Linked DNA regions of Mus musculus. The protein of the gene in region 2 interacts with the protein of the main gene of each other region in a pairwise test. Links are inferred from orthologs where the notes say so. Each region holds a gene or a part of one and is shown on either strand. Other genes may lie near its edges.

Region 1 (5,882 bases), on a different chromosome or scaffold from region 2:
ACCTACAGTGCAGGGGACAGCATGTTGTCATGGGGACCTCATCAGAGATGAACGGCCCCATCCAGGTGCCTCCTCACAGGATCAGGCAAGGGAAGTCACCTCCACCATACCAACCCTCCCACCCTCTTGGCAATCCTTAACTTCAACCTCTGCTTTGTGAAGGTGGCGTGCATCCTTTGGACAACTAGACCTCCTGCCTACTGGAAGCTCCCAGCCTGAGAGGGACTTCACTCTCAAGGGAGCAGGGAGCTCTGCCTCTTGGGGGAGGAGAGTTACAGTTTTCCCTTGAGTGCGCCCCACTCCCACCACACACACCCTGTGGCATGACATCTACATTCATCAGGCAAGGCTGGTCTTGAGAGGACTTCTCTTTGCATGGACTGTATGGGGGCAGGTTGGTACCCCTTCCCTGTTCTCTTGCCCCTGGCCCCTCCTCCCACCGTAAGCAGCTTATGCTAGCCCAGCTCTCTTAAGCAGCTTATGGGAGCTCTGCTAACTCAAGCCAGGAAGCCCAGGCTACTGGGACAGAAGGGGCCGACTTTGCTCAACAGATCCTCTGCTGATCTCCCAATGGGAGGAAGTCTTAGCAAATAGAGGGAACCCTTAGAGGTCATATTTCCAGCTTTGGCCCTGCGCCATATTCAGGAATAAAAGTGTTTTCTGGTCTTTAGAGAAAAGAACAGAGGCCAAGGCAGAAAGGGTGTGGTGGACACAGCAGGTACAGCAGGGTAAAGAGGAGGCAAGAAGAGTCCTGGGCTCAGAAGGAAACCAAGAGAGCCAAGCATTGCCCAGGGGCGCTCATGGTCTTAACCGTTACCACTCTTCTGTTGCTGTTTTTAAGTCAGGGTTCCATGTAGCCTAGGCTAACCTCAAATTCACTATGTGGCAGATGCTGGCCTTGAACTCCCGATCTTCCTGCTTCCTAAAACCTTACACCAAGTCTTAGGGGAGGCCCTGGCAAGAATTAGGAAGGGGCAGAAAATTGCTGTGGAGACTTGGGTACTGCCAGCCTCCGGTACCACATCCTCTCCGCTGACCTACAGAGGCCCGGAAGTCACCCCCAGGTCCCTGGGCCACCCCCTATCCCTCTGTGGTTGAAAAAGGAAGTGAATATAAAGCTATTCTCTCATCCTTCGGCCTGTCTCCTCCCCAAGCCGGGGACAGCCCCCTCCAGGAAGCCCTCCTGACAGCTCTCTAGCTCGTTGGAGCTGAGGTCTGAGATAAAGCTATAGAAAGATGCTGCAGGGCAGAGGGAGAAGGGGGGGCAGAACTGGAAGCAGAGGCCTAGTTGCCCAACTCCCAGGAAAAGCCTCCTTTCTTACAGCAGGCCCAGCCTGGAACCCTCTCCTCTCACTGGGAAGGATTTCTCACACTCTGCACTCAGTCTCTTACACTGCAAACTCAACTTGTGGGCCTCTCTGCCCTTACAAGGAGCGAGGATCAGGGGCTGCCTAGGAAGGCAGCCACTTCCTCTCCTCAGCCAAGAAAAAGACGAGGCCTAGGACCCAAGGTCAGGCCAGAGTAATGAGCAGAGTGGCTCAGAACCCACCTGCTCTCGTCCTTGTGGACAGAAATAGCTTCCTAATCTGGATTCAAGGCCTGGTAATCCAGAAACAGCAAACCTCAGCCCTGTGTGATTAGGGTCACAAGATGCAGGCAAGGTGGAGAGGCCTGGAACCCTGTTTTCAAATCCTGCACAGAAAAGGGCTCTTAAAGAGGCACTTGTCTTAACTCATCCTCCACATGCTATGCCATTTCCTCCAGACTGGGAGACACATGCTGTGACTTCACCTGGAAGCTTCCTCCATTGCAAAATAAGCCTCCAGTTATCCAGGCCAGAGGCCAGTGAACCTGCCCTCCAACGCACAGGGCCAAGCTAAGCTGTAAGGTCTCCTGTTGCAAAAGGCAGCAGCCCACGGGCTTCCACATCAGCCTGGTCAAGGCCCCTCCCTCCACTGAGGGCTGCCTGGCCAAGGAAGCAAGTGCTGGGGAAGTCTAGCCAAGAATGCCGCTGTCTAGCCCTGGAAGGAGGAGGGAGGCCCCTGGGGACCCAGATGCACAAGCTCAGGCCTGTCATCCTGGTCCCCTCCACAGCTGTCTGGGAGCCCTGGGCTCTGCTGCTCCTGAGGCTAGCGGGTTTATTTCCACACTAGCACCCGTGTCCATCCCAGAGAAGGGAAGTCTAAGCTCACAAGTGGAGCCGGAGCAGGTTGCTGGTGACCTACCCATTCCAAGGCAACCCGCCACTGTCTCTCCAAATACCTTCCATTCCTCAAGGCTCAGCCAACCTTTTGCCAGAAGACTCTCTAGTCCTTGTGCACTGTCTGTAGCGGTGCCTGCCTTGGCCCTGAACGATCACTTATCTGCCTGCAGGCAGCCACTCTGAACAGTCCTATGTAGCTTCCAACACTGTTGATAAAGGAACCCTGTTGACAGCGTGCACAGCATGCCAAACATTGTCCAAAATCAGAAGACTGGCTTTATTTTTCACAATAACCTTGAGGGAGGTAACATTGTTCTTGTTCCCATTTTACAGATGGGAAAAAAAAAAAAAAAAAAAAAAAAAAGCAAACATGCTCCTGCAAATGAAATTACATCCCCAAGGTCACACAGCCAATTTCCGGGCAAACTCTGGGACTCTAATCCAGGTAGCACAGCTCAGAAACTCAGTTTCAGTGGAGACTAGCCTTCCCTTGATGAGAGAGCCCTGGAAAAAGAACAAGTCCTGACTTGGGGGGAGGGGGGTCACGCACTTGCTTCCATCACAGGGCCCACAGCCAACAGACGGAAGCACCCGTATCAGCAATGTTCCTGGGCAGAGTATGGCCTCAGCCTTCCTCGGGGAAGCAGAGTGAGGGCTATAACGGTCGGTCAGGGAGCCTGAAGGTTTTCCTTGCCTCCACCTAGCCTGATGTGGCCACTGAAGACAGCCTGCAATGAGGCACACTCCTCTGTGCGAGCACCCTCAAAGGGTTCCGAAGACTCCACTGGGGAAAGGGTTACAGATGCAGCTGCTGCCCCACCTCCACCATGGGAAAAGGGGTGGGCCCCTTGAAAAAGAAGGAGTGGGGTGAAAAGAAGCCACTTCAAGGAGAGGAGGGGGCGCATCAAGAGACCAAGGGAAAGAGCACAGAGATTTCAGGCTTGGAGGCAAAGAGAGAGAGAGTAAGGGGATACAGAGGAGGGGCACTGCGTGGGGGAGGGGTGGGGGCTGGACTCTGAGCCTCGTGGGCCCCCTCCCGCGCTCTCCCTCCAGCCCGCGGGTGGCGCTCCCTCGCCGGTGCTCACCACCCGTGATCCGCTGCAGCCCCAGCACATCCTCCGGCCCGATGGGCTGCTTGCCCTGCAGCGGCCCCAGCCTGGGCCCCGGGCCTGGCTCCGGCTCCGACTCGGACCCGGACTCAGCTTCCGCCCCAGGCTCCCGCGTGGGCTCCGCGCTCCGGTTCGAGGCCCCTGGAACGGGCTCCGCCCCCGACCCGGTCCCGCCGCCGCCTTTCTTCACCTTCATGGCCTCGCGGGGCCGCAGATCCTCGCCCGCTGCCACCGCCGCCGCTGCTTGCGCCGGCTGGAGCCAGGGGAAGGGGGAGCGTCCGCCGCCCCACCCCCGGCCGGGCCCCAGGTGCCGTCCCGCCTTGGTCACGCCCACGGGAGGCGGGTCACACATACCCCGCCCACCGCCTGGCGTCTCCAGCGGGGGAGCCAGAATCCTGGGGGTCCTTGTGAACTTTTTGACAATGTAGATTCTTTTTGACAATGTAGTTACCGAATACCTCTCCTCTTTCTCTCCTGGGTTCCAACCTCAAGGTCTTTCCCTGATACCTTTGTCCTGACTTCAGCCCAGGTCTCAACCCACCCAGTTCTAAAGTACTTCTTCTCAATTTCCAGCTAACCAGCCCTTTTTTTTTTGTAATACATTAAGTGAAATTCTTGCTTGTTCCCTGACCCTTCCTCCTCAAAGGTCAGCTCTATGAAAGCAGAGATGCTCTATACACTGTTCCTCGTAACACCCTAGCACTACCACACAGCTCCTTGCAGCCAGTACCCACCCAGTATTTTCCTTTGTTGAATTGAGTTGCTATCCCAGGGCTGTCACTGGCTCAAGCTACTCCCCACTAGAACTCCTGCTAAAAGCTGCTTCAGGCACCCTACAATCCGCAGGCACCCTACAACATGCAGGCAGCACAGCCCAGGTGTCGAGCCGTCCCCAGGATGCTCAGGACGGGAGGCAGGAAGAACACATGGTGAGCTAGAACAGGTCAGTCTGCTTCTCACACAAGAACGAGTTATGGTCATCCATATCAACTCATATTCAACCAACGTTTAATAACAGTCTAATGTATGTTTTTAAAGAGCCCAATATACAGAACACTTTTACAGGCTTATCACATTTAATCCAGCCCCTTTCTGAGGGTGACATCATCAGTGCTTTCCCACCAATGGAAACCTGAGGCTCAGGTGAGGAGCGAGGAGCGGCTTAGCTGATGCTCTCTAGTCTGTTAAGTGCAGAAGCCGGAGTCTGATTCAGGCCTGTTGGGTTCCAAGTCAGAAATGTTTTCTCCTGTTCCACACTACCTCTCTGAAAGGGTAGAGGGGAACCTTAGCCACAAGGTAGAAGATCCTAAGCCACTGCCTCCTAGACCAGGCTGTCCCCAGTGGGTGACGCCAGTCAAGAAGCTGAGGAAGGAGGGAGGTGGTCTCAGAAGTGGAGAGGACAGGGCTACAATTCAACTCAAGTACTCCCCTAAATTCACCTCTCAGTGCGTTTGTATGCTGTGCTGACAGGCTGCAAGGACAAAGTACCCCTGTCCAGAGGTAGGCACACAAAGGCTTTCAAGTTCGAGCCAGATATGGAGATCAGGAAGGGTACCTTCTGAGGCTTGTAGGCATGGAGGAGCAAGCCAGTGGACTAGGAGGGGAAGGGAGCCCATCGTGGAGTGCCATCCGTAGAGAGCCCACGGGCGAGAGTGAAGACATGTCATCACCAGCAGACCTTGCCTTGGTCTCTTGGCCCAACACCCTCCCAGCGTGGCTAGAGAGGAGGGCTCCCTCTGACATGCTGCCCGGATCAGTCTATCTTCTCAGGCTTTTTCCAGGACTTGCGAGTTTCCTGAAAGATCTTAACCAGGGACAGGAGGATGGGCACAGCCATGGGCAGGAAGAGGGGAATGTAGATAGCAAACTTCTGGTCGTCGGGGAAATACAAGAGGTGGAGGAGGGAGGGGTCAAAAAAGGCGCGCTCGGAGGAGGTCACGGCTTCCTGGCTGGCAGCAAAGGCGGACGACAGGTGCCCAAGGGCTAAGGCCTTTGCTGCCTTCTGGACGGCAGCCACAGCCCTATATACCTAGGAGGGTGAGGGATGGGGTTAGCAGTATGTCCTAGACGTGGGGCAGGGAGAAGGGCCTGGCCTTTTAGTACCCTCTGAAGTTTCCTAGAGTCCACAGAGGTGTGTGGAAGTTAGTTTAAAAAACAAAACAAGACACAGCTGTTGTTTATTTTCTGAGGGGCAGCTTGAAACTTTCATTTGTCCCCACCTAGACTCCCACTAGGAGCTGGAATGGCTTCCAGAGGAAGCCTGAGATATTTATTTAAGGATGGCATGCCCCCACACACCCTGGCCCACCCCTTCCTGGCACATTTACCTCAGAAGCCACATCATCCTTGATGACAATGTTGCTGATCTTCCCCAGAAGCTGGGCCAGGGAGGTGAGGGTGGTGGTGGCCGTGGCCAGGTTCTCCACGGAGCGAGCCCAGAGCAATCGGTCCAGCTCCCAGGTCATGAGTCCTTCACTCTTTGGTCCTGAGAGCAGGCATTTGGGAGGCACCTGGGGCTGAGCAATTCCAAAGAGCAGCCTGTGGGGGGCACAGGAAGACCAAGGTCGCTG
Region 2 (5,229 bases):
GGTATTGATTTAATTCTTGAAACATTCCTAAGAGTATTTTAACCAGGCTTTATACACACTATAGAGAGTAGCCTCTTTGTCATTAAGAGAAAGACTGGATGCTTCCCTTTCTTTTCGCAGCCAGTCTGAAGCTAGGGTGAGCTCTTCATTATGCATCTACAGACCTTAGGTCTACCGAGGAATCCCCAGACCCAATAAAATACTCCAAAAAAGGTAACTGTATGATATGTGCTGATATGTGTTGACGAGGGAAAGTGCTTTACCTAAAATATCTTCAAACTGGTATTATATAAATTCTATTTTCAAGCAAAATCACCTGAGAAAATTATTTAAAGTTGATACAAGTGGGAAGGAAAATGAAGTTCTCGTGCATTCCAGTGCATACAGGCTTGGAATCATTTGCACGCAATGTGAATTTTCCATATTGACAGACATCAGTTAGTGAATCAAAAAGGGATAGTTAGGCTGCTTCTTCTCCTTCTTCTTTTGTAAAGGAGACATAGTCGGTTAACACACACACAAAAGATACTCAGAACCAACTAACTGCTAGAAGCTTCCTCCCTTCGATGTGAATCTTTAATTCCTACAGAGGAGACTGGGAATCAGGTATTAGGTTTAAATAGTGTTTGTGTTGGGACTGGAGACAGGGCCCAGTGTTGAGTGCTCTTCTTGAGGATGCAAGTTCAGTTCTCAGGGGATCGGATGGATGCCTGTCACCTCCGAGGGCATCTATACTCACATTCACATACCCTCCCCGCCACAACTGAAAATGATGAAAATACATCTTTCAAAAACTTTGTCTTAGTTACATCTGATATCTAAGAAAATATTTCTTTAAAAAGCCCGAAGACATCCTGTCAGCGACTACATCTAACATCATTCTAACATATCATACACACGTTTAATACATGGATACTTATATTTACAGGAACACATACTGCCTGTGAGAATGACAGCATACTTTAGAGTCAAGCACCAACGTAAAGAGACACGCCACTGGTTAAGGACGCGCTGTGACATTCTCTCATATTCCTTCCACAGATAGAAGGTCTGATGTTGCGAAGCAAGCCAGAGGACCAGGATGCTAACAGCAGATCCAGGAGGCCTCGCAACTGCACAGCGGGACAGCGGAATGGTAATAACATAAATGGCTATTTTTTTTTCTTTGTTTTTTGGGAGGGGGCATGGGAGACGGTTTTTCAAGACCGGGTTTCTCTGTGTAACCCTGGCTGCCCTAGAACTTGCTCTGTAGACCAGGCTGGCCCTGAAATCAGAGATTTGCCTGCCTCTGCCTCCTAAGTGCTGGGATTAAAGGCGTGCGCCACCATGACCAAACTGCTACTTTTCTTTAATTACTACCAAATATATTTTCCAGAATCTATAAAGTGAAAGGGTAGTGAGTCTTGAAGACAAACAGAGGCAACCACAGACAGCTCTGTGGGCTGAGTAATAAATCATAATGGTTCACTTTTTTTGTTGTTGTTTTAAACAAGTAAGAAGTATCTATACATGGGCACTCTTCCATGTATTAATACTGTGAAATGAGAATAAATCATTCAAATTAATCCTCTGCACTTAGAATAAGTAGGTGGGAAGCCGGGCATACGAACAAAGCTACTAGCCATGGCTCTTGGCTAAGTGTGAGCAAGGCTTGGAGCTAAATCACACTGTACTCTTCATTCCTTATCTGCTTTTTCAGACTGAACGGCAATGTTATTCCTTGTAATCACTTTAATCTTAAACCACTCAGGGCATTGCAGTTTTCTGAAGGAGATGGTAAAAAATACACTCTACAAAGTGCAGGTGCAAAGGAACTCAACAGTGGCGGTTCGAGTTACATGCTACTTACATCGTATTATTTTTTAGTGCCAGAAATCAAAAACTTGGCTCAGAGGGACACTGTTTACCCAGAATAGCCTCCCACTTTCATAGGAGAGAAACAAGCAAAGAAATGCACTGGGAAGGAAACAGTGACTCCATGTTGAAATATTTTGGGGGGCATGGAACTTGCGAGATAAGACACCAGGCTTGCAGCAACAGCAAGTATTTCAGAGGAACAAGAACACGGTACTTGAGGCTGAGTGATGGCTACCAAAGCCACAGTGTAACCTTCTGAAAGCTAGTGGCGAAGGACACAAGCCAAAGGTTAAATGAAAATGTTAAGTTAGCCAGACCTTTACCCCCTCAAAAGAAATGGGGGAACACCCAGGGCTATCTTCCGGTTAAAAAAGAATTTGTTTTTCAAGCAACCTTAGGTATATAAATGTGCTTTTTCACTGGTCTCATAATGGGCTTCCCCCTTCCCAGGAGAATGATGGTTCTGAAGCAAAAACAGCACACCCAGCACACTCATAGGTCTACAGTCTTCCTAGACTTGACAGCGGCGGCCATAGTTCGACAGTGGACAGACTTACGGCATTTAAGAGTCGTGCATACCTCTTGTACTGAGCGAGCTGCTGGCTTGTCTTGATGATTGGCCAATATCAAAAAGGGTAAAGTGCATAGCTGTGGGTGCTGGAGAGCGGAGTGCAGTTCGTTCCTAGCAGTTTCTAAGTCATCCTCTGAAGAGGCACTGTCTAATACGAATATGACCCCTTGAGATCCTTGGTAGTAGCGGCTCCAGTATTTCCGGATATTGTCAGCTCCTGTCGAAACGAAATGCATTTCCATTTTAAAAGTAGAACTCATCAACTTAGAAACACAGCAATAACAATTTCTACTGGGAACCAATGTATCTTTTCAGAAACTGAGGGCTGAAGTCTGTGGTATAGACCAGGAATCTAAAAGATGCAGGTCGTGTAGATAAGATGAAGGCATCATAGTCCATAGACTGCAGCCAGGAAGCATACATAGCACACATGTTTACACTGATCTTCATGCTTTATAGCAAAACAGGGAGGAAATGACCAGGAAAACTCTTTTAAATCATTAAAGTCGAAAGAATGTTTTAGACTTTGTTTATCAATCCCAAATGAACTACACTCTTCCCAAACTGAGTGACATCCCATCTCAGACAGCAAATTGACCCAGACATTCACCACCTTGGTATACCAGTGCTACACGCTTGGTGGTAACTTATAACAGAATAAGGCAACACTTGAAATATTCACCAAGTGTTCACATGACAGGAACTTAATCTTTTGATTTTACGTTGATGGCATTTGGAGCTGGGACCTATGGAGATAGTCAGAGTTAGTGATACAAGGTAAGGGCGCCATGATGGGATATGACTTTATGAAAGGAGAAACAGACAACCACACTTTCCTGCTTAGTGTCTCTGAGCAGTGATGTCAGCTGCCACATTAAGATGCACTGTGACCCTCACCAGACACAGAGCTTCAACCTGGGACATTCCAGCCTCCAGACCTACAGTAAATTTCTTTTCGTTAGAAATTGCCCAGTCTGTACTTTGTTGTAGCAGCAGACACTGGACAGAGCTGAGCGGCCTTGTTTAACTCCATGAACAGGGTTATTAGCATAATAACTTTTTATGACTAAATACTGAAATTTGTGAACCACTAAAATCTTGGCCTTTCATGTACCTGTATAAATCTACTTGGGTTTACTACTCATGAGGCAAAGCAAAGACAATGCACATACTCATGGCGTCGGTGAGACACGGTGCTTAGGAGGAAAGTCAGGAAGAACCGTCTAATGGCTCTTGGTATTTCTGATTGAATTGTTTTAATAATTCAATTCTGAATTGAATTTGCCCAGGAAGGGCCAGTGTGTGTGTGTGTGTGTGTGTGTGTGTGTGTGTGTGTGCATCTGTGGTAAACAAAAGGGATGTAGTTGGTTATATAACAAGAATTAGATAAGTAATTTACTAATCTGCACCACTTGAGCCAATTCCAATCAGTTAATAACTCTGGTTTTTAATCACATATTGAACATTTGGCTCCCATGTGTGACATAATGTGATAAATGTTAGAGACCCAGACAGCTCAAATTTGGGACTAGAGTTAGAGTACGCTGGCTCGCAAAGGCCATTCATATCTATTTGCTCCCAACTCCATGTTCAGTGATGTCGTATTAGCAGCTCAAAATGAGCCATGGCGGGAGAACACCGCTGGCAGAAGTGCATCAAGCCTATTCTCCTTATCAAGCCAACACACCACTGGATAAAACTGGGCAGCTCCTATTCTCAGGGAGAAGCAGGAAATCTAGAGGTGCTGATGACACCGTATTAAAATACCACCACTGAAGTGTCCCCTTTAGAGCAAGTCAAATAAATTAAAAATTAATACGTGTGACAAGGCAGCAAACATTTATTGATTATTTACTATATTCCTGGCAGCATGCTGAGGGTTGAGAATAGACCATACAATTCTTCCAGTAACTAAGGGCTGCATGTTTAACTGACTTAGGTTCTGAAACTAATTTTCAGATCCTAAAATGTAAGATAACTCACCATTACAGTACACTGAAGAGCCTAGATACATAAAAGCATTAAGGGGAGTTGAAAAATGACCATAAATAAGCAAACAGGAGGAATGAGAACAGTGTTGATACCCATTAGAAAGGATGGAACCAAGGAAACAAATAAAAGATAAAAGAGCAAAGAAATTTCAACCCTGGATTATTTGACATGTGAAATCGATTGCTTCAGTAATTGGAGAACCAATAGAACAAGAGAGCTACAGAGGTTAGCCACACCTAAGGTGATGTTCCATAGAAGCAGAGCCGGCAAAAGCCCTGCTTGCACGCATCATTATAGAAAGAATACTGTCAAGAGAAGTCAGAAGTGAGAGCAGTAAACTAGTTGGGGGCAGAATCATGGTGAAGATCTGACGCCAGAGATCTCACCCCCAGCTTGATCCTCCATGGAGCTCTTAGAGTCTGGACCGAATCATGTAAGACGTCCAGTCCCAAGGCCAGGAAATCTCTGTATAGTTACTGGCTGCGAGCCGCCCCTAGGTACTTGGAGGGGGCTGGGACCAGATTTCCCAACATATCTGGCTGGGGCAGTTTCTGTCAGCCAAGAGTGGTCCTCTGGAGAAGGGTACAGGTGTGAGTCATTAGCAGCCAATAGCACAGCAGCTGGGAGACGGATGCACTGGCCCAGGGAAGGAGATCTGTGTATGATACTGACAGCATCTGCTACACGCTAAATCCAGACACTATCCATATGCTAGAAACCCATCCAGAAGTCTGCAGGACAGAAGTGACAGCCGACTCATCCAGTGATGACTATTTAGAAATAACAAAGGACCGTGTGTGCGTGTACCA

What was found.
Region 1: the proteins of Arl15 (region 2) and Unc119 interact in binary tests that used the Homo sapiens proteins (3 or more experiments, as listed by UniProt). The link is inferred for Mus musculus from reciprocal best matches to the Homo sapiens genes ARL15 and UNC119.

The regions. Positions count from the first base shown.
Region 1 is NC_000077.6:78,341,193-78,347,074, reverse strand, and holds the start of Unc119 (protein unc-119 homolog A), read right to left. Parts: upstream 3,581-5,882; 5' UTR 3,509-3,580; coding exon 3,289-3,508; intron 1,492-3,288; exon of another isoform or gene 1,393-1,491; intron 366-1,392; exon of another isoform or gene 341-365; coding exon of another isoform or gene 316-340; intron 1-315. Other genes in the region: Pigs (GPI transamidase component PIG-S), read right to left, coding at 5,066-5,341, 5,640-5,850. UniProt on the Homo sapiens protein: Involved in synaptic functions in photoreceptor cells, the signal transduction in immune cells as a Src family kinase activator, endosome recycling, the uptake of bacteria and endocytosis, protein trafficking in sensory neurons and as lipid-binding chaperone with specificity for a diverse subset of myristoylated proteins.
Region 2 is NC_000079.6:113,964,998-113,970,226, reverse strand, and holds part of Arl15 (ADP-ribosylation factor-like protein 15), read right to left. Parts: intron 2,646-5,229; coding exon 2,437-2,645; intron 1-2,436.